Lepisosteus oculatus: one gene and its partners. The protein of the gene in region 3 purifies or fractionates together with the protein of the main gene of each other region. This does not show direct contact. Links are inferred from orthologs where the notes say so. Each region holds a gene or a part of one and is shown on either strand. Other genes may lie near its edges.

The links.
Region 1: the proteins of eps15 (region 3) and ap2s1 purify together in Homo sapiens (affinity purification with mass spectrometry; 5 studies listed by BioGRID and IntAct, counting the BioPlex papers as one, with this or other methods). This does not show direct contact. The link is inferred for Lepisosteus oculatus from reciprocal best matches to the Homo sapiens genes EPS15 and AP2S1.
Region 2: the proteins of eps15 (region 3) and gja1b purify together in Homo sapiens (affinity purification with western blotting; 3 studies listed by BioGRID). This does not show direct contact. The link is inferred for Lepisosteus oculatus from reciprocal best matches to the Homo sapiens genes EPS15 and GJA1.
Region 4: the proteins of eps15 (region 3) and fcho2 purify together in Homo sapiens (affinity purification with mass spectrometry; 3 studies listed by BioGRID and IntAct, with this or other methods). This does not show direct contact. The link is inferred for Lepisosteus oculatus from reciprocal best matches to the Homo sapiens genes EPS15 and FCHO2.

The regions. Positions count from the first base shown.
Region 1 is NC_090698.1:783,591-791,573, forward strand, and holds the start of ap2s1 (AP-2 complex subunit sigma), read left to right. Parts: upstream 1-4,976; 5' UTR 4,977-5,142; coding exon 5,143-5,145; intron 5,146-7,040; coding exon 7,041-7,190; intron 7,191-7,489; coding exon 7,490-7,603; intron 7,604-7,848; exon of another isoform or gene 7,849-7,887; coding exon 7,888-7,947; exon of another isoform or gene 7,948-7,983. UniProt on the Homo sapiens protein: Component of the adaptor protein complex 2 (AP-2). Adaptor protein complexes function in protein transport via transport vesicles in different membrane traffic pathways.
Region 2 is NC_090697.1:1,441,015-1,448,534, forward strand, and holds the start of gja1b (gap junction alpha-1 protein), read left to right. Parts: upstream 1-4,514; 5' UTR 4,515-4,654; intron 4,655-7,520. Other genes in the region: gap junction Cx32.2 protein-like, read left to right, coding at 1-1,013. UniProt on the Homo sapiens protein: Gap junction protein that acts as a regulator of bladder capacity. A gap junction consists of a cluster of closely packed pairs of transmembrane channels, the connexons, through which materials of low MW diffuse from one cell to a neighboring cell.
Region 3 is NC_090704.1:27,626,765-27,634,606, forward strand, and holds the start of eps15 (epidermal growth factor receptor substrate 15), read right to left. Parts: upstream 3,004-7,842; 5' UTR 2,959-3,003; coding exon 2,932-2,958; intron 1-2,931. UniProt on the Homo sapiens protein: Involved in cell growth regulation. May be involved in the regulation of mitogenic signals and control of cell proliferation. Involved in the internalization of ligand-inducible receptors of the receptor tyrosine kinase (RTK) type, in particular EGFR.
Region 4 is NC_090698.1:24,444,259-24,452,182, forward strand, and holds the start of fcho2 (F-BAR domain only protein 2), read left to right. Parts: upstream 1-4,919; 5' UTR 4,920-5,070; coding exon 5,071-5,103; intron 5,104-6,794; exon of another isoform or gene 6,795-6,889; intron 6,890-7,924. UniProt on the Homo sapiens protein: Functions in an early step of clathrin-mediated endocytosis. Has both a membrane binding/bending activity and the ability to recruit proteins essential to the formation of functional clathrin-coated pits.

The DNA of each region.
Region 1 (7,983 bases), on a different chromosome or scaffold from region 3:
TTAATTTCCCCAGTTTTTTTATTTTCATCGCTCATGCTCTTTTTCTGACCCCATCACCCCACCCCTTCCAATTTTCCTACATATCCTAAGAAGTAAAACTTTTGTTTCTGTAATGGATATAGAATGGAAAGGGTATAGCTCTTCTGTTCTACCCTTGGTGCCAATACCAAAGAGGACTACAGACCTCCTTGTAAGACATATGGGCTTTCATTTAAATTAAATTAAAAAATTAATAAAATTGAAGCACTCTCTCTGTAGCTTTTTTCTTTAAAAAAAACAGCATGACCAGTGAGTACCCTGCTCTCCGAAGCTGAGCAAGGCTGGTGCAGTACTGGGAGGGGAGACCCCTGAGGAGAGCCAGGTGGCTGCTGTCAGTGGCGCTGGTAGCCCTGTAGGTGGCGCTGCCTTCCGCACCAGGCCACTGTGCTGTTGCAGGTGCTGTTCTTCAGGCGAGGTGGTTATTGATGATCCTGGGCATGGCTCGTAACAAGTGTCCTGCCTATCCCCCACTCTGGGCTTGAGCTCTCTGACCTTCCTAAAGCGCCCCTCCCGATTCTCACGGAAGGTTTCTCCCTCCTCCCCTGACCTGCTGCGTGTCTCCTACGGGGGGGTTGAGGGCTTCAGGAATGCCTGCGGAGAAAAGCACTATATAAACGTAAGAAGGATTAAAAAGCCCTGACCTTTGTCGCCCAGGAGAAATTGCCTGTTTCGAGTCTCAGGTCGTGTGCATGTGAACAGAGAGCTGGGTGACATCCTCTGATTGCTTCCTGTCACCAACACAGTAAAAATGAGCTGCTGTTTTTAAGCTCCTAAGGAAGCGAGGACAGAGCTCATCTCAGTCGATCTCGGGGTCTGCGGCTGGAACCAGGGCCACACAGACTCTTTAGAGTCAGGTACTATAGGTGCCTAACTGCACCTGCAATTTCAGGAGTATGTCCCTATATCCTGCAGTATTCGGGGGAGTTTATGGTGTGATTGTAGGCTGTGTGGTGTGATTGTGTGCGCTGGGGTGGTGTAGTGTGATTGTGTGCGCTGGGGTGGTGTGGTGTGGTTGACAGTGTGCTGGGGTGGTGTGGTGTGGTGTGATTGTGTGTGCTGGGGTTGTGTGGTATGGTTGTGAGTGCTGGGGTGATGTGGTGTGGGGTGGTGTGATTGTCAGTGTGCTGGGGTGGTGTGGTGTGGTGTGATTGTGTGTGCTGGGGTGGTGTGGTGTGATTGTGTGCGCTGGTGTGGTGTGGTTAGTTTGTCAGTGTGCTGGGGTGGTGTGGTGTGATTGTGAGTGCTGGGGTGGTGTGGTGTGGTGTTATTGTCAGTGTGCTGGGGTGGTGTGGTGTTGTTGTCAGTGTGCTGGGGTGGTGTTGTGTGATTGTGTGCGCTGGGGTGGTGTGGTTAGTTTGTCAGTGTGCTGGGGTGGTGTGGTGTGGTTGTCAGTGTGCTGGGGTGGTGTGGTGTTGTTGTCAGTGTGCTGGGTGGTGTGGTGTGATTGTGTGCGCTCGGGTGGTGTGGTTAGTTTGTCAGTGTGCTGGGGTGGTGTGCTGCGATTGTCAGTGTGCTAACGCCATGCCTGAGGAAGTGATGCAGAAGGCTGCTATTGACTCCTGAAGCACTATGGGAAAAGTGAAACATGCCACTTGAGGAAGGTGCTCATTTTGAAATGGCAGGACTTTCAATTTACCCTTGCTGAGAGAGTCAGAGCAAGCGCGCTGTGTGAGTGCCCTTTCTGCTTCAACACTCTAAGCAGCCTCACCTCTCCACCTTCAGAAATGCGGGGTGAAATTTACTGGCACGTGGAACAGCCCCCCAGTCCAGCCCCCACCACCCCTCCTGCAGGAACCCTCTTCTCCGTCCCGCTGGGTCCCAGACTGCAAAGCGTCCTCCCGGCCGTGACGCAGTGCCACGCGATGTGGCCGCCCCACAGGCTCAGAGGAGTAATTAGGGTTGTTTAGGTTATGCTCAGTGCTGGGTCTGTATCCTGATGACCAGTAAACAATTCCAGGGCCAACACCATTACAGCTGTGTCTTGCGAAATTCCTGAGGTTAGAATGACAATGAAATTGTCTGAACAAATGCACTCCATTTTCTTCCAGTATAATTTACTCTGCTCCCTCTGTGCATGTGTTCTGAACCTGAGCTCGCGAGGACGCGATTTCAAATCTGCGTTTCATCAGTTTCAAAACCATTTGTCACCCAGGCTGCTTCCTACGTAGTCTAGTTTAAAACTGTCAGCAATTCCTTCCAACTCACACCACAAAAACTTTTGCAGGACACAAGCAGAAATCCTGCATGTTGTTTCCTGTCAAAGCTATCCTTCAGGATGTTCCACGCCGGATTCTTCAGGAACCTGCAAGGACTCCCAAATTCTGGCAGGTTTTTTTTCTGTGGGTCTTCAGACAGCTTTTAGAAACTCTGCGATCAGCTCCAGGAGGAGGACTCCTTCACAGGACAGCCGAGCCAGCGCAGTTCACAGGGCAAGAAGAGGCCAGGCACAGAGGCGCTCCCGAGGCCAGCGCACTGACAAACATACCAATGACAAGAGGCCACTCGACCCCACAAGCCCATTGGGTAAAAGACTTCATATCCGCTCTGTGTATCAGAAGAGTCAGTCCTAAATAGGACAGGATTTGCTTTCCTGGGGTCTTAAGAAAGTCCTGAACTGGCACTGACGCTTCACTGAATTCAAACAATTTTGCAGAACAAGCTCCCAGTACAGCAGAGAGGGCACCTCTCCGGCCCAACCCTTTCTCCCAGTGGCCAACCGCTTGGGCAGCTCTGCCTCTGGACGACTCGGATCTGGAGGTGTATGACATCTGAACCGCTTCCGAGCAGGAGCAAAGCTACGGAGTAGAGGAGCCCATCCACTATGAATTGATAACAATGCCTGCCCAATACTCAGGTATAGTTTTTAAAATAGTCAGGTTTGCAGACAACATCAAAATAAAAGGCCTGACACAGAGAGACAGCAAATGAAATTCCAAAAGGCTTAGGTAAAACTCAGTACTGGGCAAGCAGCTGGAGATGAAGTTTAAGACAGGCTGCAGGGTTTTGCTTGCAGGTAGTAAAAGAATATAAATACAAAATGAGAAAGACTGAGCAGGAAGATCTTATGAATAAATACTGAAGTGGGACTACATGGGCTAGATGGGCCAGATTGGCTCCTCTTTTTGGGGTTAACTATTCTTTTGTGCCTGTGGGGTTATTAGCAGCTTACTCGATCCGACAGGCTCATCCTGTTATTTCTGAAGGGATCACAGAGATTCTGCTCCAGCTGACTCGTCTGCTTTCTGTCCAGACCCCTGTGACTCTTGGTGTAAAGGACTGTCAGCTGTTTCTCAGCCCTGAGTGCCGCCTGCTGTCCCAGGTCCTAGTCTTGATGCCGAGACTGAGGCAGTCAGCTCAGCGGTTCTGTTCCTGCCTTTCAGGATTCTGAGAACTGTGAACTGCCTGAACACAGTCAAAGTCAAAGTTTCAAAGTCAAAGTTTATTAACAAATGCACAACAATACAGCGTACAGCAGTAGTTGCTGGCAATGAAATGTCTTTTCTACGAGCTCACTGGGGGGATAAAAATCACACCATTAAAGCTACAAATAAGGTGACATAATAATACATAATAGTGCAATAGAAATTGAATAAAATAAACTCAGACAGAGCTCAATATAAATAGAGCTGCGGTGTGTCCAGGGTGTGTGCAATACATTATGTCCAAGTAGTGCAGTATGATGAATACAGTGAAAACTGTGTGTCCATGTAGCCATTAGGGGTGATTTGCGAAGGAACTGCAGCTTGGCTGCGAAATCTGCTGCTTAAGGAAGCGCTGTTTCGAAATGCTCCTCTCCAGGGGGTCGAACATCATCCCTGCCCATGTTTTATACCCGAAGAATGCGCCGCCCCGTTACCGCCCTCTGCTGTCGCGGGGATGTACTGTGTGTGCCCGACTGCTCCGAGGTGGACAGGCTAACTTCATACTCCTTAATATATAAATGAGTGTCTATTAGTGTGTGCACACATATATGACTGTATTCATACATACGGAAACTACACATATGTACAAGTGTTACATCTCCTTATAGTTTTCTGTACCCACGGGGAGATAAGCAGGTTTCTCTTTCATTCCAAACGTCTACTGATTTCACTGCTTCGAGTGGGTAATACAAAACACATTATCAAATCACCCATGCCACTGTAAAAACAACAACATCTCCATTTAACGGTCGTACTGCTGTATTTCAGCCAGTTATTTATCGGTTTCTTTGCAGAGAAATAAAGCTCGTGTTTTTGGTATCTTCCGTGCCTCGTGCGCCTCAGCGGGCTCGGGGTGGCTCGAGGGCGATTTTCTGGGACTTCGTGGGATAGCATCCACAGTCACGTGCCGTCACTCCCACGGCATCCGCGGTGCAGCGATGACCCGCGCAGAGACCTGCCCTGTACCCTCGGATCAATACCTACCCCCTCCTTCGAGTCCTCGCCTCCGAGTCTGCCCGTGTTCATCTGTGCAATAATACCGCCTGAACAGCAAATGGTTCAAGACGCGACTTGCGAGGGCGCCGCTGTTACTTTGAGGTATTACGTTATATACCGCGGAAGAAAATCAAAGAACTGCAACCCCACTAAAATATTTTGCTCAAAATTCGTCAGATCTTATCGATATTTTGCGTACTCATGTGGATCACAGGACGCGCAAGAAATTTTAAATAAGAAAATTTACGAATTTTTAAGAAAATGACTTGAATTCAGCTGTTCATATCTGATGTCCGCTTTCTCACATCCACTAAAAACGCCTAAGCTGACTTCAGCTAAAATTTCACGTGATATTGTCACAACGCTGTCCCCAGGGGCGACCTGCGTCTAAAAACATCATTTCCCACGACACCATTAAGATCGTAGTGTCTTCTGGTAGTTGTAGTCATCCGTTCCTTTTTCAAGCGGCCGTTCGTGACTAGGGTGGGGGCGGCTTGAACTACAATACCCGTAAGGCACCGAGCTCAAGGCCTTTCCTGGACTTCCTGCCTAGCGGTGATAGCGGAGAGCAGAAGGGAAGGTCTTATCATAACAGACGAAAAACAACATTTAGTCAAACTTATGATTAGATCACCCCCGATCGCATAATTCTGTTCATTTGAGAAACCTGATACTTGGAAATAAAATGGTAAGCAAGTCTTTTATTTTATCTGCGACTCCGTTCGGCCGAAGTCAGGACTCGATAAGAAATGAATGGAGGCCCATTGGGCGTTTATACGGTTTTAACCAGATCTTGAGCGTGTAATTACACCCAAAACGTCCTCTACTGGACTGAGACGACAGATGTGCCTTTCCTATGGGGCGTTTGACAATGATCGCCGATGAAGCGTATTCCCAGGTTGCGAGAATCTGTCGGGGCGGTCTGGTCGCTCTGGGCGCTAACTGCTACTGATCTCTACCTTTACTCTGGTATTCATTACAGGCGGATTGATTGATCTTCGTGGGGGTATATGTTTGTCACACATTAATTCCTACTGCTGCGACAGTTGAATCCGTTTACTGTCCTGATCCCGAGTCCTGACCACCGGTTTCTGAGCTGTCCGCAGTGTCGAGCTGTCGCTTGCGATGCCCGCTCCTCCTCACCAGAAACAATCCTCTTTCAGAACCTGCGCCAAGTGACCAAGTTTCAAAGGTCATCCTTTCGACTGCTGTAATTTTGCTCTAAATCGAAGACGCGTTCAGTGTCCCTGTGCGGATTTCGGTACGTTCTGTCCCGTCGAGTGTCAAATCTATTGGCATCGACACACAGGAGAGTTTCTAAAGAGCCCGGAAAAAGGTCATTTTAAAAAACAAATACATTATCTGGTATAAATAATCGAAGCATATTTAATCAGACTGTATTATTTATTATTACATAGCACTTTTCTGGACACTCCACTGAAAGCTCTTTACAGGTCATGGGGACCCCCTCCACCCCCACCAGTGTGCAGCCCCACCTGGGTGATGCGCCAGTACGCTCCCCACACACCAGCTCTCAGTGGGGAGGAGAGCAGAGTGATGAAACCAGTTCAGAGAGGGGGTTATTGGGAGGCCATGACTGGTAAAGGCCAGGGGGGAATGTGTCCAGGACGCTGGGGTTATTCTCATCGGACTGCAGTGTGTGGAATCGAGCCGTTGGTGTAAGACTCCGTCCAGACAGCGGGGCCGAGAGACGGAGCCGCTCTGACCCTGTGCTGTCTCTGACGGGGCTCTCGATGCTGTACAGCAGTCTTTCCTCAGTCCCTTATCAGACCCTCCCTGTTTTCGCTGAGTCCCTCACATTCCAGGAAATTGCAGGGGGTGTAACCCAGCACTTCCCTCCGCCCTGCTGTGGGGCGCCGTGGCGCGCGGTTCAGATCGGAGCTCTCTGATCCCTCTAGACCCACCGGGCCGGCGCCGGGGCAGGCAGGTTCTGCTGCTCTGATCCGGCAGCCTCAGCCTGGTGTTGTCCAGAGCCCCCCCCGGCTCACGCTGCAGGTGCAGGGTTCGACAGGAACATACTGGTAAAACACTGCTCTGACTTGTCATCTGAACTGCTCAGAGGAATAGCTTTTTTAAAACACGTTTAACGATGAAAATTTGGAATTTCAGCTTTGTGAGCTGTTTTTCTCAGTTTTTGCTGCTCTTCTGGCAGCTCCTGTTGTTTTAGCTGTTTCATTTGCGTCCCGTTGCACCAGCTGCAGACCTGTAGCCCTTCGCCTGCTGCTGTGCGTTGCAGCTCTCTGGGCTGAATGTGTTTCCAGGAACGGGCTCTTCAGTCGAAACAGCATTTTAAATTCCAGCAGTGTAATTCGCCAGGAGCCTGCAATGGGACTCTTCCTCATTTCCCTCGAAGCTCTCTGGTGTTCCTCTGACCAGGCCTGTGCGTTAAGCAGGCGTTTGATGTCAGAGGTGAGACTGTCGGCGGTCTGATTCCTTGAAGTGTCGAACTCGTAGGCGTCTGTCTAGTTCAGGCTGCAGCGTGTGCAGAATTCAGAGCGACGGAGCCTGGAGACAGCGCCCACGAGCTGCTCCGCCTCTCAGCCCTGCCCTCCTCTTCCACAGATCCGATTCATCCTGATCCAGAACCGAGCAGGGAAGACCCGCCTGGCCAAGTGGTACATGCAGTTTGACGACGACGAGAAGCAGAAGCTGATCGAGGAGGTGCACGCCGTGGTGACCGTGCGGGACGCCAAGCACACCAACTTCGTGGAGGTGCGGCTCGGGGGGGGCAGAGCACCAGCCCTGCTGCACGCCCACGCCTCCACTGGCTTACTGTAACTCCCCCATCCCACCTCCCACTTCCCATCCTGCTTTTGAGCTCCGTGGCCTGGTGACGGCACTGGGAGCCGCCTGAGGAGCTCTGACGGGAGCTCTCCCCAGAGGAGGGACAGCCCCGGTCTCTGAAAGGAGAGATTCCTTCCCTCCCTGCCCCTCACTGCCCCCTAGAGTCCAGGCGTGTGACAGCAGCACAGCTGCCTCTCAGTGAGTGACCCCTCTTCCTCTCTGTGCAGTTCAGGAATTTCAAGATCATCTACCGACGTTACGCTGGCCTGTACTTCTGCATCTGTGTGGACGTGACGGACAACAACCTGGCCTACCTGGAGGCCATTCACAACTTCGTGGAGGTAAGAGGGGCTCTGCGCCGCGGGACGTCCCAGCTGGGCTCGGGGCAGCAGTAAGGAACAGACGCAGGCGGGGTTCTGCGTTGGGATGGACTGACGGGGCAGGGGGCCCGGAACCCACAAAGAGGGGCCGGATGGATCTTTCAGTTCTAAGTGAACTACAGCAGGTTGGGTTTAACGTTCAAAAATCAAATTTACATTTTAGATGATAAAAGTCAAATTTATGCTGTCAAATACACAAAGTCTAATTTCTCATCATGAAATGTTTTATGTCTTTATTTTTGTAGGTTCTGAATGAGTATTTCCACAATGTCTGTGAGTTAGACCTGGTGTTTAACTTTTACAAGGTAAGACTCCAGTGGCACTAAGGTGTTCACACTTTG
Region 2 (7,520 bases), on a different chromosome or scaffold from region 3:
GGACATTCCTGGGAAGACTGCTGGATAAAGTCCAATCCCATTCAACTGTGGTTGGGAAGATTTGGCTGACTGTCCTGTTTGTCTTCAGGATTCTGGTACTGGGAGCTGGAGCAGAAAAGGTCTGGGGTGACGAGCAGTCAGATTTCTTGTGCAACACACAGCAGCCTGGGTGTGAGAATGTGTGCTACGATAAGGCCTTCCCAATCTCCCACATTCGCTTCTGGGTTCTGCAGATCATCTTTGTGTCCACCCCAACCCTAGTGTACCTGGGACACGTCTTGCATGTTATCCACAAGGAAGAGAAGCTGAGGCAACGCAAGCTGAAAGAAGAACAAGATGGCAATCTGCTTATGAAAAAAATCAGTAAGATCCCAAAATATACAGATGCTGATGGGAAAGTTAGAATCCAAGGCAATTTACTATGCAGTTATTTAATAAATGTGATCTTTAAAATTCTCTTTGAAGTGGGCTTCATTGTAGGCCAGTATTATCTGTATGGGTTTGTTCTGGACCCCGTGTTTGTATGTAACAGGAGCCCTTGCCCCTTCAAAGTCGAATGTTATATGTCCCGGCCGACCGAGAAGACTATTTTCATTTTGTTCATGCTTGTGGTAGCGTGTATATCTCTGCTTCTGAATGTCATTGAGATCTTTTACCTCTGTGGACGCAAGATTAGTTATGCTGTAAACAAGCAGTATCAGCAGCAGATTGGTGGCTTAAAGATTCCCCTGACTTCTGAGGTGGTTTCTTCTGGTTTTAAAGCACCTCTGGATTGTGAGACTTTCAGTGATAAGCATAGTGTGCTACAGAACAAGACTAATTTAAAGATTGAGCAGAATGAAGACAAGCTGGAGAGTGAGATGACAAGAAGCATAAGTGAGGAGGAGTGTAAAATGAAGAGGGAAGCTGACCCACAACCTCCTTGGTGTGGTGAAGCTCAGAGTACAAAGCACAGCACTGAAGGAAGCATTCAAAGCATGAAAGACGACGAATATTTATTGAGTGAAAAGTAGATCAACTACTGCATTTCACCAACAAATACATTATGTAAGAATGAGGTTTTATATTTAGCCTAACAATGTCAATAAATGTATTGAATATGCTTTGTGTTATACAGTACCTACTCTGTGTATGGTAACAAGTAATAGGTTTATTCCATGCTGAAAAGAGAAGAAAGAAAACACAACGTTGAGGGTCACACCTGAAGACTCACCTCACACCTTAAGAAGGCTCCACGGCCGAAACGTTGTGTTTTCTTTCTTCTCTTTTCAGCATGGAATAAACCTTTTATAAAAAAACACATAATAAACAAGTAAAACAATTACTTGTTCCTTTTCAGCCTTTGCATGCTGACACAGCTACCCACCTGAACTACTACTCTATGTATGTTTGAAATATAAAGATTATAGTGTTGAATTAACACTGATAAATTCAGCTAACAATTCACAAAGCTCTGAACTATACTGTATGTGTATCTAAAAATAAATTCAAAATATTGCTAGATTATTTAGAAAGTGATAATCTAATTTCTTTACCTTTATCTAAAAGACACAAACCTGTGATTTTAAACCTGTTATTCGAGATCTGCCTAAATAATTAGGATACAAGAAAGGGTAATTTACTACTTGAAAAGACACATTTTCTACCTTCTACCTTCTACCTGTGATAAAAATCAAGCATCTGCATGGCACTCTTATTATTTAGCCAGTTTTGAATGTTCCATCTTGATGCTGTTTTGTGGGCAGATGAGTTGAAACTGGTATCCTGGATGCGCTGTGTGCGAAATAAGGAATTGAAATTCCTTGTCCTTGCCGTTTTTATTGCTAAAACCTGCTCCAGTACCTAAGACAAATATAATGTTGTTACACCCTCATAAAATCCATACATTTCATATAAATTCACAGAACCTTGTTCATGCCTTACAACACCGTTTTTAACATACACATGGTTTTCTGCACCACATTTTAGATTGCTGTTTGACTACTTCAGCAGTGTTACCGTCTTCTAGCCTGACTTCAGAGGCTGGCCAGTGCCGGGGCTGGGAGACCTTTAGAAGGAGCTTGGTTGTGGCTGTGCTGTTGGTGGACTAGCAGGTGGCACTGCTCTCCCTGGTCCAGAACTTGAAAGCAGCAATTCTAGGAAGAGTTACAAAAAATCAAATGTTTCTAAATACTATAAAACTCCTTTTAAGTTGTGTGCCAGTTCCATGCAGGCTCATGTCCTCCACTAACAATTTCATCCCGCTACACCTGGGGCATGAACCTAGGTCTCCAGTGTACCACAACAGGGAACCAGCCGAGTGAGCTAGAGGACACCTCCCCCAGCCCAGGCAGCTGAGATCCCCGCTACGCGCAGGGAGGGCGATGATGTCACCGTGTCCGAACTAGCTCTGCTACATGAGCACCTTGATAATTCATAGCTGGGATAAATGTGCTCTGACATCCTGTTGGGTTAATTGTGGCCTGTTGTGAGTGTGTGTGTTTGTGTCCGTGACTGTGCCCTGCGAAGGACTTGCATATCATCCAGGGTGTGTCCTGCCTTGTGCCAGTTGCTTGCTGGGACAGGCTCCAGCTCTTCTGTGACCCTGTATTTGAAGAAGTGGTTAGAAAATGGATGGATGGCAAATGTAAGAATAGTCTTGCTGTTTGTATTCTTTTCCCTTATGGCAACACAACACTGTCATGTTTGACCCTCCAGTTCTTACACAAAATGCCCTCAGTTGTGTACAGCACAGTCTATGGTCTGATTGAATACTGTACCTTAGTACTGTAGCTACTGAACTCAAAAGCAGAAATGTTATTTTCTGAATCCATCCTACAGAAAGAAGGAGATTTTCCCAGAGACTCCAACTTGTACAGTACACACTGATCACAAAACTTTCATTTTTATGTTTGTCTTTTCTCTAGTCTTCTGTGTCCTTAACTTGGTTTCAAGGTTTTTGTGCATCCTTTCTCCACACATACCTATGATGTGTCTCAGTGTCGGTAGCAGAAGTTCTGATCTCAGCTCTCCTGTTCGCAGAGTGGCATCTGCAGAAACATCATGCCAGTTCTGGAGGAAGTGAAGGCCCTTCCCTGAAATATGTGCTCCAGCACACTGCAGCACCAGCAGTCACAGTCACGCTTGAAAAGAGAGTTCAGCATCTTTCCAAAATCACATTACATCATATCATGGCACATTACTGCTTTCTGTACACATAATGCCTGTTTCTAGTCCACTTTCCATCTATAATCAGGCACTAATCACCTTAGTACTACTGTTGGAGCGTGCCTTGTCAGAGTAGAGGAAAACCTGATTTCTCCATTTAGTGTGATGGTTATGGTAAATCAGTTTTTCTTGGATTATGTTTGCTGGAATAATTAAAAGTCCGCTCAAACTATTTTGATTGTTTATCTTAGCTCATGAATTTAAAATGAAATTCCAAGGTACAGTACATGGTATGAGCTTCTTTCTACTCTAGAATCCAATCACAGATAAGGAAGCTACTGTGTGGTACAGTATGTCAGCTTGAGGACACTGAGAAAATAAGATGAATTCCAGTTGTAAATACTGGAATCTGCAGATTTTTCATTTATCGGAAAAACCAAATCATCTGTTAATTAATACAAAGTGTCAAGATGCGCGTACAGTACCTTTCATTACAAAGGACACTGAAAATAATTTCTTTCTTTGACCTTATTTTATGCAGTGTGCAGGAGAGGGCGCTATGGTCACAGCAATATGACGGTTGGAGCGCAATGCAGAAACCCACGTTAGATTTGCGTCATATGATTCTGTTCTCATGTTCAAATGATCTTGTCTTAATTGATATAATGCACCACTCTCTGCATATGGCATGCCACAACCTCATATAGCCTAATATAAATCTATATATGTGGATTAAACTCTATATTGTCTTCAAAAATGTAATAAATATAATCAAATTTCACAGTAAAACCACTTCAACGCAAAGTGGAGTTTCATTGAATAATTATTGAATACATGCAATTGTGTAGTTTTTATTAAAGTAATGCGCTGATCACCGACGGAAGTTTTATATGAGACATTTATACGGGCCGGGGTTATTTCTTTTTAGTTGTGTTTAGTGGAACTAAACTTCTTTATGAAAAATGCAAAGTTAAACATTTGAAATTGATTCTTACACAGGCAATCAAATGGAACTAAAATGGTATATGATCCGAAGAAATCATTAGTCATAATCTGTGTTTTTTTCTGTTTGCATCCTTAAAACGCATTGCAAAACGAGTTTGCTAAAAAAAAAAGCTCATATCTGACATATATTTGGTCATTTATTTTCACGTACAGGTAGCTGCTGTCCTCTAAACTTATAAACTTTTGAATTTCAATATTAGTCATTTTGTCATTGAAAATAAAATGTAGGAATCTCTACTCTGTATGGTTGGAGTCTGCCCCCCCAAAAGTTATCCGTGATCCTGTTAATTTGTTAGGAGGTCTACATTACGTCAGGAATCAGGTGACTACAAAACTTTTTTTTTTTAAACCCCAATGAAGACTGTTATAAGCAGAGAAAGTTTGACAAGTCAGTCTCAGTTTCTCCCTGGTCCCGAACTTGGATTGTAAGAAAACGGTGATAGAATTGGACAGATTTTCGGGGAAAGACAAGCAAGGCTCTTTTGTAACTTCGTCCTTCAAGGTAAGTTTGAAAACGAAAACGAATCAACAGACCATCTATACATTGAACTGTTAATTTGAATCCTCTGTACAGTATTCAAGTGAACGTCTGGAAGTCAACTTTTCCCAGTTAGTCACCCTTCCCACTCTGTAACATATGTGTTCAATTATTTTTCAGTTTTCTAACTGAAATCCGCAGTAAACATTTTAGTTTATCAAGTTTATAAAGTAGTTTTTATCATATTATTGCACACAAAGTTATCAGTGATTGGTGAAGTTGTATAATGGTTTTCAGAGACATGTAGTTCCATTAGATTTTCTTCTGTGTGTTAGCTGGTGCGGGGATTTAAAAAACGTTTCTCAAAAGTTTACTCTTTAACAGATTTAACAACATTTTTTTTATGTTTAGTAAAATCATTCCAGAGCTGTAGAGATGTTCTGGAATAGTAATGTATTTCACTAAAAACACGAAACCAATAACGAAATTGCGCAAATAATCTTTATTATCATTTTCAGATGTTATAAATCTTTATTACTTTGCCTAAGGCTGTAAACAGAGTCAAAACACAGTTTGTGGAAACCATCAAGGTTCTAAGTAATCGTCTTTCATAGGTATTTTCCAACAATGTAACATTCAATTTAATGAATATATCTTATTGTGAACATCTGGAGTGCACAGTCCTTGTATTGGTAAGATTACAAGTGTATTACTTTAATGTTATCTAAAAGTCCCTTGAAATATGAATAACTGACACAAAAATACAATAATAACATCAATAATAACATAACAATAATTCATCAATCCTATGGGATTACTAAAGTATTATCTATCTAATAACTTTTGTTAAATAATTATTAAAATATAATATCATATAAATATATTATTTAAAAATAATTGTATGATTTGTCTGTGCTTTACAAGAATTAACAAAACCCCCCAAAATCAACTACCTTCAACAAGTGTAGAAACTGATTCAGATTAATTATAAATGTGTGTATGGAGATTTTATAACAGTTCGTGTACAGGATGTATACTTCTATACTGTATATAGGCACACAAAGATGTGACTGACTGTTTAATCTGTATATTCAGCTGGTTTCTCTTGCCTTCGGGTCTTCTTTAACCTCCATCTGTGACCTTTCATTGATACACTTCTGAAGGATGCTCAAAGGAATTATTTTTCCCCAAAATGCATTTTGCAGCTTTTTTTGGCTCCATTGTGGTCACAACTCTAGTTTTCAGACAGACATCAGAATGACTGTGCCTCCACCCCATACCCAGCAGACCCTGCATGTAGTAAATTATAATTGCACTTTAAAAAAAATTAAAAGCAAAGCTCAGGACTGAATTTTAACAGTGAATATTATAAGAACAATACTCTCAATTGATCTTTGTATTACAGTGTATGTGGAATGTTCCTCATGCTTCCAGCTGGCAGTTTGCACACTCGGCAGCTTCGTAGGGAAGGTTTAAATAGGTTTAAATAGCTTTGCCAGATGGACACGAGGCTACACATACATTATTTAGAACAAGGCTAATGGTGGCTGGTGTCAATTAAGCACCTTCAGTTTAATTTGGATTACAGTCTATGGCACCTGTGTACAACTCTGACTTTAAGTACAGAACTACCATACTGGAGGCCTTACTATCGCTGTCATGTATTACCAGTTTTTCTTTTACGTTTCCTTTATATTTTAATGAGCTGGTTTTCTGTTCAGTAGACAAAAAATGTCGTTAATAACTTGACACCCAACATAATCATTGTTCTGATGCTGTATTTTCCTGTCATGTGTATGTACAGTATAGTCTTTGTAATATTTTTTAAATGTACTAGCATACTGTACATAGAGAGACTACAGGAGGCAACGTGCCTACTCACTGAGAGAATTGCAGCCCATTGCTGTTACTGGAACTGTACCAAGACATCCCATGAGTGGATTTACCAGGAAACAACTGAGAACAGCTCATGTGTAATTATTAATGTTCATACAGTATGTGATGACTGGCCAGGCCATGGCAGCCGTAATGACCTGACTCTCCCTCTGGCCTGCACATTGCAGGCTTGTTGTGAGCTGCTGTGTTGTCTCCTTTACAAATGTTGTTGCTCTTAGACAAATTACTGTAAGATCACACAGGCAGAGATCCGCTTAGGAGGGCCTTGCTGTATCAGATATCACCCCTACCACCTTTGCAGACTGGTCTGCGACCAATCACATCCCGCACCAAGGAGAGTAAGCACGTCACTGCTGTGGCCTAGTCTTGCCAGTTGAGCAAGTGTCTGCTGTCTTTCACCAATCTGAGAAAAAGATTCTTGATAAAACTAAGTGCTGAGAAGTAAAGAGCCTCTTTGCCAGCAAAGGGAAGCAATCTTGCAGATCAGAATTTATAATCTCCTCCAAATAATGTGAGTGCAGTGCCGCCCTGCATGCAGCAGTATAGCATGATAGAGAAGCAGAGTGTCAGCTTCACTCCTGCTTTGGTAGTGCTATGCATGCTTTTCTAATTAACAGATGTCTTTTCAAAAATAAGCATATTGTTAAGCTACCATATACTGCTTAACTTTAAAGATCCCCTACTCTGTGTTTTGTGAAGGCTTGTTGAAACTCTTGCTCATATTCTCTTGGGGGTTTTATGGATAAAAGAAGCAAAATAGTAGAGAAAGACCCCAACCTACAATATGTTGATTGCAAGTATTCACCCTTGTGACTGAATCTTGGGCAGCAGTCCCAGCTGCAGCTCTTTTTGAATGTGTCTCTACAAAGTCTTCTCTCCAGGATGGTGCAGTTGCACCCAGTCGTCTTTGCAAACTTGATCAAGCTCTTCAGCTTGACAGCAGTTCTTCTCACAGATGTGCTATAGGATTGAAGTCTAGACTTTGACTGGGGCC
Region 3 (7,842 bases):
ATTCTCCTCAGAATAACATCTGCCATCCAATAACCCATGCCTTGGTGAACCCAAACTAAAATGTCTTGCTCCTGCAACTCCTGTTTTGCTGTGACACTATATTGGCCGACCCCCCCATCCTATTTGCAGTTGAATTGTTCCAATAATTACAGTACTGCAAGACCCATTTTTAATAGTGGATGATTCTCTCATCTGAATTTGCAGGGAACTGCCAAAACCAATAGGGGAAATTAGCAGACAGATAACATTGGCAGACGATGACATGAAATATGTATGAAAAGCCAAATGGCCTGGTAAAAGCTTTTTCTGGGCAGTGCAAAAATAAATGAGCTCAGATTCAAACATAAACTTTAATGGAAAGAGACTGCACACTACGTAATCCAAAGCAATCTAGGTAGATCCATTGCACAATCAGAAACAAACAGGAAACAGAAAGGTTGTGTGATATATCTTAACCTACCCACTTTACTCTGTGACAAACAAATGAAGCGATGCTCTAAACATAAATTACTACGAATAACTTCACAATAATGTCCGTTAAGACCTGACCTGTCACTCACTTCACATTTTCAAATTATCATCAAAAAGAAATGCACCAGCATTAAAATCCCCTAAGTACGGCAACACCTTTCTGCGATAACTGAGTTAGGCCATGCTGAAAAGAGAAGAAAGTTAACAACGTGTCAGCCGTGGAGCCTTCTTTGAGTGTGAAGGCTCCACAGCCGAAACGTTGCGTTTCCTTTCTTCTCTTTTCAGCATGGAATAAAACTTTAACCTGTTCCTTTGCAGCCTATGCACGCTAACGCAGTTACCTACTTGAACTATAATGGAGTTAATTATACCTGTCTCTTTATTAAAGGCGATGTTAGTACAGAGCAGGAGATTTTCTTCTGTTCGTACTCCTATAATTAGCTGTCATCCACATTAGGTTACAGTGAAGTCAGGATCTTAACGTGACCTTGGTGCTTCCCTTCCTTTGGGCACTTTAACTCTGGCCTTGCTGTTGATGCCAGAAGCAAAAACACTTCCCTCAAACGATCAGCCAGTTTCAAGCGGTAGTTTGACGACTGTCCAGAGTGAAACAGTCAGGACACTCTATAGGGCTCATCAAGTGGGCACCTCCTTTCACCATTCCCTTCACACCCTCTGGGAAGGCGAGTTATAAAGAGAACTATATAGCACCAGCCTCTCATCTTCACCCGTCTGGCCTCCAGGACTCTGACAACCGTCAGGTGAGCGTACCGACCTCCCGAATCTTACAATGAACCCCCAACCTCAAAACGCTACAATACTGGGGCTGGGCAAATGTAAATGATGAACTTGTAGAGAAGAAATCAATACAACTTCATTTTTAATTAATCAGCCAAAATGTTAATTTGTAAATGCCTTACAACTAGGCCAATACACAGGACGGCCTATGCTTGCATAGGCACTTCACCACGGGAAGTTTTAAGAATAATCTAAGATCACTCATCAGTCACTCCCAGATCTCCCAATACCTGTTGGCCAGACTGCCATTGTAATGACAAGTTCTTCTTTGGCAACACTATACAGGAAGAGCCAATCGAAGTCTGTGTTTAGTCTGGGCCCTAAATAACTGAATCCAAGTAGCTCTAATAACTACAGCTGTCTTAAAGCTAGTTTTGCAGACGCAAAAATAACCTTTCCTTTCTGTGCTTCCTATAGAAAACAGCATGAGCTCTATGGAGCATTCCAGCTAAAAGGTGTGTTCTCATAGACTGAAATACAACTTAAAAATGTTTCGGGACTTTACCCATGCATAATGTGTTGTTTCAACTTTAAAATATAAAACAGATTTTGCGCTCGTCTAGCTGCATAGATTTCATTTCGTTTTAAAACTAAATTGCAGCGCTGCGAGACAACCCTACACTAACTTTGCAAAACGGTTACAAGCGTAACAAGTATTTAGAAAAACACATGCTCATTCCTTACTGTAATTTAATCATTACTGACGTAAAAGGCGCTGTTAAAATCATGCATCAAGATGCTCCGACTGGAAGTGTAAAAGACGGATATACCGCAGTATCGTACTAACAGACAAACTGCCTATGACACCCAGGCCGGCAGGAGAATAAAAACACGGATGAAGGCGTTGGTTAACACTGGATTGTCAATCGAGCAGCTAAGTCTGATGAACAGTGTTTAAAATTCGCGAGATAACAGCAGAAGCATAAGAGGCAGCTCAAGATAAGAGGACAGAGAATATGAGCAACGAAATGGTTATGACAACAGACTTACACTACAGCAGATCACTACAGAAAGACATGATATAGTGCTTAACTCAACTAGGCACGTTACAACGAATGCCTGTACTTCCAAAATTTATAAACGTGCTTTGCATATACTTTTTTCGAAAGACAGCTGCAATTAATAGTCAGTAAATGACTCACTATAAACGTCGAAAGTCTTATTTGCTTCGCAAACTGACGGGCAAAATCCAGTTATTATTTTCCAGCACGTAATACATGTGTGTTCGATTTCTTCCCAAACTCAAACTTTCGATGTACTGCACACTACAGCAGCGGGTAATCCATTTTATCTCGCCACCCAACAGATATCTTGACACTACAAAACTAAGCAGCAAAACACGTTGGAAACAAAGCGATCAACATCGCGTCTTGGGAATAACGTGTTTAGCTGATGTAACAGAGTACTAGTTTAAAATATTTAAAAAACAAAAGCCCCACCCCCAAATTGACACAAACTACGCCCTTACGCAGTCCCCAAAGAGATTAAAAACAGAAACTTTTTCCCCAATTCACAAACTTCTAGAAAATCACACAAACATGTGTGTAGCCTCCTTTTCACAGCCCTGCTCTAACTTCCTCATCGCCCCACACAGTCCAACGTCTAAAACATGCAGCTGAAGGAATGTTAATCGCGGTAATTCTGTTGAAAAGGCAGAGTTACCTGAGTCAGAGAGAGACTGGCAGCCATAATGTTTCTCTTCCCATTAGCCCATCCTGCGTTGCACTGGGCAATATAGGGGAGGCGAGGAAACCAGGAACAGGAGCCCCGATCGAACTGGATGCGGCTGTCTGCAAAACGTGGCACTGGCGTGACAAACCAGCTCGGCTCCGGAGGAGTTTTGCAAACTACTGTATTTTAACTTTGTTAAAGGCGGTGATTCGGGTTGGCAGCACACTGTCTTGTTTTGTGTCCGTATGCAGTTGGAGCATCACTGTATTAGGCAACGAAGGACAAACGTTTAACCCATTTGTAAATATTAAATACAAAAAACAAAAAAACAAGTTTAAAAATATGCCAAGTGATAATCTGTTGTACCCATTCATACTTGTCGAAGTATCCCGTTCTGTAAACTAATCAACCTAAGCTTGTTTTTTTTCATACATTCACATTTATCGGAACACATGTTTCTGTTATACAGGACTGGTTTAAAAATAGTTCAAATTACGAGTTCTTGTACTCTCACAATTTCATTAGAAAGGGGTCACGGTAAATTAAGAGTAGAAGAACACTTTGAAAACAAAAAAAATCATGAGAGTCTTTATAAACATATCTTTAAAAGAAAAACGTGTTTGTTACATAAAGATAATATGAATTATCCAGCTAAGCTTCACACCCCACTTCAACAAATGACACTAAATATTAGCAAGTAAACAGCGTATCTAACAATTCCAATAGGGGGAGCTGTTACATAAATTATCCATCTGGTTCAGAAGTTTTTCATTGCCTGATGGTTTTAACCAAATTATATTTATGCTAATTTAAACACGTCTCGACTTTTAACAACAGTTAGCCTGAGTGAGTTACTTCGCTCAGTGACAGTAAGGTGAGGAAATTAGATTTTGCAGGGGACGTGACTGAATTTATTAGTGGATTGGATTTAGAGGCGAATTGCTGATTGCCCTAAACATTTTTTTCTTAATCTATTTTGAAGTTGTGCATCTCGGTATTTTTTGTCATTGCAATAGAGTATTATGTCATTTATGTACTGTTTTAATCTTTTAAATTTCAGACAGCGCATTAGCCGAGTGGTTTCTTTCACGGACACTAAAACACCGCTAAGAAAATAAAGTGCAAACGTTTCCCAGATAAATCCAAAACAATCTAACTTGTTAAGATGGCGTGGTCCCTTTTTCCGTTTTCTTCCACAACCGATATCCCTTTTGTATGTGGATCTGAGAATTTGCACAAATTGAACAGCGTAAGTTTATTGTAATAAACCTTGTTTTCCCTAAATCATCTACTTGTGCAAGTGATAGTGCTCTTTTGAAAGGATCCGGTGGCCGCAGAAACTAAACTATGCCTACCGTTCTCTTTCAGAACCACCTGTCTATAAAAGGTCATTCAAGTGTATTAACATAGAAAGTCTATGACTTCCCCAAAATATATGACTATTTTTAGGAACGAAGAACCACACTAGAATTCTTGTCATTCTGTACCGGTTGCACCCGTTCAATTGTTTTGAATTTATCTAGGAAAACATTTGCAGTTTATTCCCTGGCTGCCGAAATGAGGCTTTTCACTCATTTCATTTTCATTTTCTTACACTTGCCTCTCGCCACGAGACTCAGTTGTAGCCCTGCCGCAGTACTTTTCGCCTTTCACTCGCTTAAGTGACTGGGATAAATAGGCTTGCCCGAGGGACAGACATAAACAGCTCTCGACATTTTCCTAAAGTACTTTAAAGCATTAGGATCACAAAATGCAAAAGCGTTAACGCGAGAACACCAAAAAACATATCCACTGTGGACTGCGGTGCCTATGCAAATGCATAAGCGGAAACTCTGCTTTACATATTAGTTCATGAGCCTGTCTCTAAATCTGTCATTTTGTTCCATTCATTCAATTGGTAATCATTCTACCTGATACTATAATGGCATTTGGAACCTGAATCAGTTTTAAAAGGCTCATCATCTGTTTGAAGGAGTCATTTGCTGTCCCTTAGGTATGGTTTCTTGAAGCCCTCTTCACCAGTGGTCCCCCAGCCTGGTCCTGAGAAACATTGCTGGTTTTCATTGTAGTACCAGTTGATGACATCATTAGCTTGTTTGTTTAACCTGATTGTTCAGCCAGTCTTAAGTGTAACAAAATACAACTTCAAGGGTACTGAGGACATAAACCCTTAACTCGCCCCTGGTTACAGAGGCCACAGGCCTAACCTCAGCATTGCCCCTAGTTAATTCAAACAGTGCTGAAAATTCATCCATTTTCCATCAACTTCCAGGGCACACCCTGGATGAGACACACAGGTTATAACACAGACACAAATATGCACACACTCACAGCAGGGCCAGTTTTCACAGAAGCCAGTTAATCTACCAGCATGGCTTTGGACGGTGGGAGGTAACCAGTGTCCCGGGAGGAAACCCTCCCAAACGCAGTAAGAACATATGAACTCCACCCAGATCATATCACAGTTTCTCGAATTAAACCCAGGGCCCCAGCACTGGTAACCACTTTAACGCCTTACTGCCCCTCTCCTCCATTTGCTTGCTGGTATTTCTGACTGAACAGCCATGACTTGTAGATCAGTGGATGAAGAACACAGGGTCGAATGAGTTTTCTTCTTTCTGCACAGCTCTAGTTACATTTCAGGTGCCTACTCCGAACGAGTAGTTCTCAACTCCGATTGCGTTCGGTTCTGAAACTCAGAAATTGAAGCTGATGGTACCAAATACAAATTCCATTTGACCTCCCAAGAGCCGAAAAGCAGATGTACAAATATGGCCCAAACAGAAAATTGAAATAATTAAAATTGGTAAATTTAAATGCAGATAGCCTGTCATTCAGAACTTGGCGGGAGCAAAAACCAGGAGAGGCCCTCTTCCTCTAGGAACAGGTCTGGGATTCACTACTCTACACTATAGCAATCCCTTTCTGGCTCCAGATCCGTCTGGATCCACCTAGGTGGGGGATGCCCACCTCTGGTCCTCAAGGTCAATGATAAGATTCAACTGTAGAGTTTAATTAGGTCATTAAGGGCTCTGGTAACAGCTAAAATTGTCTCTTCAGGACTCGAGTCCTGCACACCTGGTCCATCTTTAAGGACTGAACTGCAGGACAAGGTTGGAATCTTCACTCAACACAGTACCAACTTCCACCACATTCAAAACTGGATTTGAGCGCTTTATGCTTTATTGTCCAATATGCATGGCAGCTCATGCCAGCAAGTTTTTGGTATTCAACTTCTATTCCCAGCAGACCCATTCAGTATCACCAATTTACTGATCATTTAAGTCCAGGCTATCACCATTTAAGACTGCTAGAAAACAAAAGATCCATGAATTGTCTTGTTACACATACCTGACAATGTTGTGCATTTACTGTACTCCCATCATCCTTCATTTTCTCAAGTCTAATGGTTTAGTTCTTGACATTCTGAGGAGCAGGTCAAGTTTTAACCAGAACACCCTGATATTTCAAGGGAAAGAACAGAGACTCTTTTAAATTAGTTTATTACTGTACAGGAACTCACATAACCAGATCTTCGGCAGGACAATCTTCTTACTCCATCCCCTTCCCCCTCCCCCCCAAAACCCCATAAACAAATACAAAAAATATAAAAAAGGAACATAAACCAAAACCGGTCACCGGTCAGGTAAGTTTCAGATTGAATGTACAGCAGTGCAATTCACATTATTTCCAATTCGATGCTAATAAAGATTCTAAAACGGGACAAACTAACATTCACTCTGCATGATTTAAACCACTCTGGTTCGGCTTACCGGTCTTTTTGTAATATGGGCAGTTCCTAAGGGCAAGGCAGGGCACTGGGGCTGTTGAACAACACATACCAGCACTCTCAAACAATTCAGATTTTCTCCATGTTCCTACAATGAACTGAAGGAACTGGATGGATTTTAAAAGCACAGTCCCTTCACCAGTAGTTACAGATGGGATATCCTAAAATCCTTGTTAAAAACAAGGGAGATGGGAAATACAGAACAAATGTATTTCACAGGAATGTGGGGGAAATAGCGTTTTTTCACTTTTTTTTTATAAGTAAATGAAGACTTTGCAACAGAAATTGTAAACCCCATTTCACAAACGAAACAGAAGAAATGAAATGGTGCTCTTAAAACAGGAGACAAATCTACAGCAGGTGACGATTAGAGCCACAGACCTGAAACAGCATGTCAGATGTCCTTTGAACAGAAATAAAAATAACTACCAGTGTTTGATAAATGTGCTAAATAATTCAAGGATGGTTATCACCTGGCTTTGGTAACAGGGAAAAAAAGCTGCCCCAAAATTCAAACATGTTATTTAACCCAGAAAAGCCTGTTATAGTCTGTTTTTATAAGCCTATAAAACTGGTGTTCTAAATAATTCTGCAGAATGTAAAACACTATACTGTTGCATATGAACAAACACCATATTTTTTACAAGGGATCTATTTGTTTGGTAATTTCAACTCTTTCAAATGAGGCCAAGGATACTAGTTTAGAAACTGTGACCACATGGATTTATTTGACAGGGGCCTCAACATTGACAGAGGTGCAAAATGAGCCCATTAGGAATAGCAGCACAGGTTTACAAAGGACGGCGCACAACATTCACTGGAAATGCAGCAAGACTAATGAAGACAAGGGGGCTTTACAAAGAAAAACAAAATGATGAAATGTCTTCTCAAAGAGTCTTAACAAAAAAAAGGTGCAGCATTTTGAAATTCTACTGAAACAAACCAGATACTGAGATACAGTATGTGATCTATCTATAGAAAGTGGATCCATTACATTTGACTTGTCACATTAAAGCACACAATGGGTTTCTGAAAAGAATGGCCCTTACAGGACACCATAACTTAAAAAAAGTTTACATTAACAACTAGTCTAAAAACAAAAAAACAAAGAT
Region 4 (7,924 bases), on a different chromosome or scaffold from region 3:
AGGGCTTCAATAGCTAACAATACAATAACATAAACTGTATATTTTTACTAAATAGATCATTTTAACTTCTCTTTTCCGTTACTTTTAGAAAAAAAAAACAATACCATATCCTAACTATGACACTAGATGGCACTAAACAAATGTGGAAATGATGCCTCAATCCCGATTTCAGAGATTTGCTTTATTTCACGACGAATTGGAAGTGGAATTAAGACTCTATATGGTACTATTACATAGCCCATTTTAAATTTTAATAATCGACGTACTGAAAAAGTAATAAATGATTCTTGTTCGAACTGTGTATTTGGTTTCTACCCGTCTTTTCTTACAAGCATCCGACCCTTTTAAGTAGGTATGCATTTAGCCCAGTTCTAGACGTACGAAATACTGAATATTATTGTATAGCTTTCTGGTTTTTGTTTTAACTGTCACCAATCTTGCGGAAAGTGTTTTTACTGAGCTTTGAGCTTTTTAGCACCCCACGTACCTTATCTCTGTTTACGACATTAATGTTTAGTTATCGCTGCTCTTTGTTTTTAAATCGAAATTGCTGTTTGTATTCTGCATTCTTTAAACACATTTTACTGTCTTTAATTTACAAGCACACAACCTTGGGTTCAAATATAACCCACGTTGACTGACACATTCCTGGTACAGTAACGTTATTAACGTTATCAGATCTCATCAGAATTGGTCTGTTCATTGGGTTACTCCTTAACTGTATCACTTTGTTATTTTTACAACCAAAGTGTTAGTGCAGTCTGCAATATTAATTCTAAATGAATGATGTATCTGATATAAACTTTGATAATTCGTGTTTTGCCTTACCCAGGAGACCCCAAAGATGAAGTTCAGCAGATTTGGTGTAAATTAAGGGCAATGTAAGGGATCCTGTGGCTACTGCAATATAGTGTGATGTTAATTCGTTTGCAATGACAAATATTTTCACAGTTATTTGTTTTTTTTTAAAACAAAACAATTCTTAACTAGAATTATTTAGAAGAATTTGGAAAGCAACAATCCACTTCAGGCTTGTGTGTGGTGAAAAGTACAAATAAGTCTATTGCTGTATGGTTTTTGACCCCAAATGAATAGGGCAACAGGGCTGAGGTTAGACAAATCAACACCACTCATTAAACCCTCTTTCACCTCACTTCTCTGAACTTCTCAGTACAGGTGAATAAATACATTATTATTTCATACAGTAAGTTTTCATACTTTTGTATTGGAAAGAGCTGCTATTGTGTAGATTAAGCACTAAATTTTCAATTATTTTGTTGAAACTCTGAAACTGTATCCCAAGACTTTGTGAGCAGCAGAGCTAGAAACAGCTCAAGCTGAAAACACTGTCCAAAGAATGATACTACTTTTATTTTATTTTCAGTGCATTAGGAAGTAGTTGCAAAACCTGCTCTCAAATGTCTCAGGTAAATATTGGGCTACAGTGTTGCCCAATTGCCATTTTCTATGATGGGAGGAGTTTCGCATGTTGTCAATATGCATAGACTCAGTATAAGCCCTCAAGCTGTAGGTGCCGTTCATGTACAGTATAGTGAATATTTACTCAATTGGACCAAATATTTCTTACAATATTTGTACATGCCATTTTCTGGGGAAAAACAACTGTGTATAAGTTTCACGGTATTCCTGTAAGTGGATATCTGAATATTTATCTAAAATGTGGGGTGGCACGGTGGCACAGCTGCCTCACAATGGTGGGATTGTGGGTTCAATTCCTAGGTGCTGTTTATGTGGAGTTTGTATGTTCTTCCCATGTTTGCATGGGTTTTTTCCAGTTGCTCCAATTTCCTCCCACAGTCCAAAGACATGCTGGTAGCTTAATTGGAGTGTGTCTTTGGTGTGCATGTTTGTGTCAATTAACTAGTGTGCCATCCAAGGTGTATATTGCATTATGCCCATTGCTTGCTTTGATATTGCTTGCTCCAGCTGCACTGCGATCCTGTATTGGATAAAGCAGTTAAGAAAATGGATAAGTGAAATTTAATATAAACGGAAACCTCTAAAATCAGAAATGGTAATCAGAACACATTCTATGGTATGATAAACTTTACTTCCAGGGAGACTGGGTTTTATGTGACACTTACTTTTGAACTTGATCCTATGCAGCTGTAAGTACAGAGCTGGTGTCTGTATTGTTGTGTGTGGAGATGGGATTTTGATGCATAAAGATTATATTGGGAGGCTGGATATACTTCTTTCACTGGACATAAAAAGGTTTATTCCCTTTTCGTATGGATAGATTCTTTTTCTTTTTCTTGTGTCTTTCTCTTCAGGCGAGATGGTCACACATTCGTAGAAAATTCCAAATTTTCCTTACTTTAAAACTGAACATGGCAACCATATTTTCCTGTTTTGTGTCAATATTTTGCACTGTCCAATTTGTTTAATAGAAATAAATGAAATGTGGAAAAATTGGACCTACTACATACTAGGCTGTGGTGTTCATCAACATGAAGAATCTCTCAATGAAGCCGACTTATTTTAGCTGAAGCAGATACTACTTTTTGAAAAACAAAATTCACTAATAGCTAAACTCTAGTGTTTTTGATAATATTTTGGTTTGTGTTTTTTTTATTAAGTTTCAGACATATGGGTGTCTGAACACAGCAGATATGTCCAAATATCTGTCAACAGCCTTGAGCAGGACCTCCCTTTGTTTAGTAGCTCAAGTTCAGAAAACACATGGGCATAGCAGATGCTTTTCCCCACAGTACACCCATAGATTCCCAAGCTCTTTTAGATCTAACTACTCCAAGCAGCAACAGAAATGTATTATAATTAGGGACTTACTTAATCTGATCAAGCCTCAACCTATTAGTGTCTCCTTTTGACATTTATGCTTTTATTTCATGTGATTTAATCAGAGTATTATACAACACATCTAACACAGGCACTGTCTTTTTCCATGTATGGCCCCAACTTCTTATAGGCCCCCCCAAAATGTAATGTTAATTTAATTAAAGGAATTTATTTTCCATTTTATACATTCTTAATAAAGTTGATTTGGAGCATGTTGGCATTTTTACTAATTCAGAAAGAGGACTTAATTAATTAAAACACATAATTAAAAACACAAATGTAGATTGCACTACTGATAGCTCACATTGTCACACTGTCTGGTGAATAAGGTGTCAACAGGAAATGAGAAACAAATTATTTAACGCATTTAGCTTCTTGGAAGACTTTTTAAATATATCAAAATGTATCTCATTGGCAGGAAGCTGAATGTTCAAAAAAATTACATTGGGTGGTAAAAATGACCTTGTGGATGAAGTCAGATTATCACCTGAGCTTGTAGAAAACTGTTTTTAAATAATATAATAATTTAATTAAATGCCATAATTTTAATATAAGGGGCAGCACATTGGAGTAGTGGTTTGCATTGCTGCCTCACAGATGGGGGACCTAGGTTCAGGTCTGGACCTGGTGTGCTATCTGTGTGGAGTTTGTATGTTCTCCTCGTGCTTGTGTGGGTTTCCTTAAGGTGCTCCGGTTTCCTCCCACGGTCCAAAAACATACTGATAGGTATGGCACCTACCGGTAGAAAACGTACTGGTTACTGGGAAATCTGGCCCAGGTGTGTGGACTTCTTTGTCTCTGTGTGCCCTGTGATAAACTGGCTTATTGTGCAGGGTGTAGCCTGTCCTGCACCTGTTGCTTGCTGGGTCTTTGGTTTTCCCAGCTGTCACTATAGCGCTATAAATATAGATACTATAGTGTTAGATGCAGTAATTCACTGATTGTACACGATTTGACTGGTGTAAAACCAATTTTGAGTTTCCCTCACTCCTTGAAATTCCAAATATCTTTTCATACAGGACTCCCTTGCTTTTTAAATAATTGAACAGTAGCTAAACAGCAGCAATTCCCCCTTGTAGCTGAATATCATCAGATCTCAGGAGCTCAATCTGACCAGGAAGGTGACATTAGCCCCCCTTCAAATCTTGACAATGTGGGATTCTTCTGTGGCAGGAGACTGTGTCTTGTTGCCTCCCTCTAGGGAGTGCTGCTAAACAGAGGTGCACCTACACTTGCTACATAAGCAAGGCTGGACATCGTCTGTACTGGGATGGGAGACCTATAAGGATATTCAGGTTGCTACTGTAAGGGGTTCTGATGGACCGCTAGGTGGTGCTATTGCTTCTACCCAGAGTGCCAGTAGAGTGACCAGCAGTTTTCAAAAAAACAAGGGTGTTACTGTGGCTAAATTCCAAGGTTGCTGGTGCATAATGGCAGCCATGTGTTACCCAGATAGATGCTTTACTTCAGTGGTGGATGAATTTGGTCTCCTTACATATGTAAAGCATGTTGAAATTCTTTGGGATGAACAGTGCTCATGATGTAAAGGCAGTATTTATGATTAATGATAAAATATTATATTGCAATGTTTTAATAAATGCAGTAATTGTTTCATAACTACAAAGGAATCTCAATGGGTCCTTCATAGGTAGGAAGTATGAAAGATTTGTTATAATTCATTTGATAAATATGAAAACAATGTCACTGGTAATTATGCTAAAGATAGTTTCTCTCATCTATCTCCAGAATATTATACCTTTTTGATTACATTGGGAAAGTAACAAGAAATAAAAAACTGTTACTAGGGGCAGAATATTTGGAACAAGCTGTCCAGCCATGTTGCTGAAAACAGTTTCCAGGAATCCTTCAAGAAATGGCCAGAGGAGATTTTGTTCGATTCAAGTTACTAGAAACCGAATAAACCAATATGACTGAATAGCCTTCTTTCATTTGTAGGCAGCTTATACTCCACTTAAGACAGTGAATAGCATAATGGTGCGGGGTTGAGAACTGGATGCCCTGCGAGTGGGGACTGGCTGGAATGTGCAATCACTGCATCAGCCAGGAGGGGCGCTGTTTGTCGTCTCGCTCGGGGTGAGCCTAGGCAGGAGAAGGAGGTGGAGTCTGAAGGTGGGGAGGGAGAAAGAAAAAACAGGAGACAACAGAAACAGGGGGAGGACGACGGTCTGAGACGAAAATAATAAAAAAAAACAAGTAGACCTGTTACCGCAAAGAAAAAGAAAAACGAAGATGACAATGGCCTATTTCGTGGAGAATTTCTGGGTATGTCTCGCATTTTAAAATTTTTATAATGCCAAGTATACCCCCTCCCCTTTCTAATAGCTGCTTTGACAGTTTGGCTTACATATACTTTTGTTGTACGTCTAAATTTTGAGATATACTATTAACATGAATGGGAAGGGATCGAGTTGGAGCACCTGCCAGTTTAATGCAAAACCCAGTATCTCCTACTTTTTAAAGGCGAAGACGTTTACGCCACTCCGGGGAATCGGGCCTCTGAGGCTCCATCTAACTTGGATGCCTGAAAGCCCGCCCTCATCGGTCACTCATTGGCTATTAGTGGTTCTCTAGTAATGTTTATATTCGTGTCTCGGTACTCCATTGACCTGTTGCGATGTCACTCAAATTTCTAGGAACGCTAATTTCTTCCGTAATTAAGTTAGAACGAGAGAACAGATTTCTAAAGTTCTTGAGTTAGCAAGGGCGAATTTGTTACCCATTTGAGATGAGTAAAATTATAGTTAACTCATTGTATTTTCCTAGATTGCTGGTATTTCATGGTGCGTTGATTTTGTAAATCAAAAGACTTGAACTTAATAATCGGGTTTGAAGGCCAGCCTTGTCCAGACGTGGCTGTTGTCGTGTTTTTAGACAAACGAAGACATGAGAAATGAATAAACAGAACCCGAACCCATTTTTCAAAAAGTAAATTACGAAATCTAGATGAATGTCGGAGTTTACGTGGAGTACGTGTATCACTACTACTATACAAAATGTCATATTTCTAAAAAGAAGCAACTATAGTCTTCATGGATTTAATTTTTTCTTATTTGTTGTCGACTGGCTTCATGTTTAATTACCCAAGAAATATTAAACGGGGAGTACTGAAGTTTAAGATCTCTTTTTATTCCCCATTGAGTATGGAATATTGCTAGACAAGGGAAGGCTTCAATTTTTAACGCGATTTAGTGTTGATAGTACAACGAGTTTGTGGATAAAACAATGTCTTTTGCTTTTAACGTGGCTGTTAAAATCGTACAAATTACAAGTCAGTCCTCATTGAGAGTATCTTGTAGTTTTGGTGATAGTTGTAAAGAGGATGTCGCAAACCATGGAAAGAGCTGAATTCAGATTTCTATGGAGGAGATCACTAGGAACTTTGTTGCATGTACTGTACAGTGCAGTATTACAACATTCTGAAAGGTATTGACACAGTGTGTCCATTAGATGGGCTAACTCAGGTTAAAAAAGCAGCTGAGCAATCGGAAGTGTGTTTCAGATTGAGAATAGAAAGCATTTCCAAAGGGCGCTGGTCTCTGGAATATTCTAACCCATGTTTCTGATACTGATTTCTTGGGATCATTCACAAAAGTTCTGTGAGCTCCCTAGATTCCTAATCTACCAAAATGGACTAAATGTCTTTCTCTAAAATGTTAGCTGTCATATACTATGTGGGTTGTAATAGCTAGAAGTACATTATTATAAAGTTAATTATTTTAAGGTGTGCTTTATTTAATTTAAGATTGTGTGACACAAACCACTATTGAAGTTATGTTGAGAAAAAATGAAGGTTTTAACATGATGCAAAATGTCTTGCAGTAAAGATGAACTTCTATCTGTGCAGTTGGAGACTGGAGGGAAATGAGTATGAAACACGAGCAGTTGTTTGTATTCCTTTACAGACGAGCCCAAGATGGTTTTGTGGTCAGTATGGTGGTGTCCAGTGTGCCAAGGAGTTGGAAACCAGTTTGTCAAGCGATTTGTGTCACTGTGTTTGTAGATCGCCTGGTAAATACCTCTGTCAAGATTAAGAACTGATGCTGTGCAGGTATCCTACCCAAATGGCTTTCCTGTATCTTTTTACCCAGTAGTCAACAGCTTGCAGCCATCTGTCCCAGTTTTGATTTGGTCATCTGTATAACTCTTGTTTTCGCTGAGGTTGCTTGGTTAATGGCTTTAAGTTGATGTGGTGGGATGGCCTGGTCTCAGCTACCCTGAACATTTCTGGAATACTCATGGAATACATAGGGCATCTTTACAGAAACACAACACAGCCAGTGATTGGACCATTAACTGATATGATAAGAGTCCCACATTCTCAGCTCTTGGATTAATAGTATGCAGCTTGTGATGCAGCTTCACCACTGTGAGAGAGGAGGTTGTACCAATCCTATTATTTTTCTGCAGTGGAGGAGGGGGCTCCTTTTATGTTTAAGCACAGGAGTGCAATAACCTTTAGGCATTAATATTGCAATTGTAGGGAATTGTCCTTCTGGAGTTTAGGGTTAAAACCACAAGGTTTGATTAGGTAGCTTTCATGAAAATGAGCCATTTCTTTGCCATTTTAGCGTGAACCGTCAAAGAAATGCACTGTAGTATGAGTGTTCTGTCTTTAGAAAAAGTGGTAAAGCATAACATTTTGCTGGCTTGTGTTTTTTGTGATGAATGGGAGAGTTCTAGATCTTCATTAAAACGTCCACGTAAGAAACATTGATAAGAGACCAGCATGATTTGTAGTTCTAGTGTTTCTGCCCTTCAGGAGAGTGGCACTCTTTGTTTTCAGGTGCAATAAAAGTGATTATAATTAAGACACATATCAATTATGTAGTTAACATAATACAGTGCAGTTTTCCAAGATGTCAGAAGGTGTAGCAGTGCCCCTTTACTTCAATATTCAAGATAGAGGGAACTGCAGAATTATTTCAGTTGAGTGCAGGATTAGAAAAATATCCATATAATTTTGAACTCCAGTAATTGTCATATTTTGTTATTGTACAGAGCATAGAGGGTTTTTCTGAGTCATTCTTGTGTTTTCCTGTTCTTGTTAACCTCAGTATGCTATTAATATTTGGTGTTTGTGGCT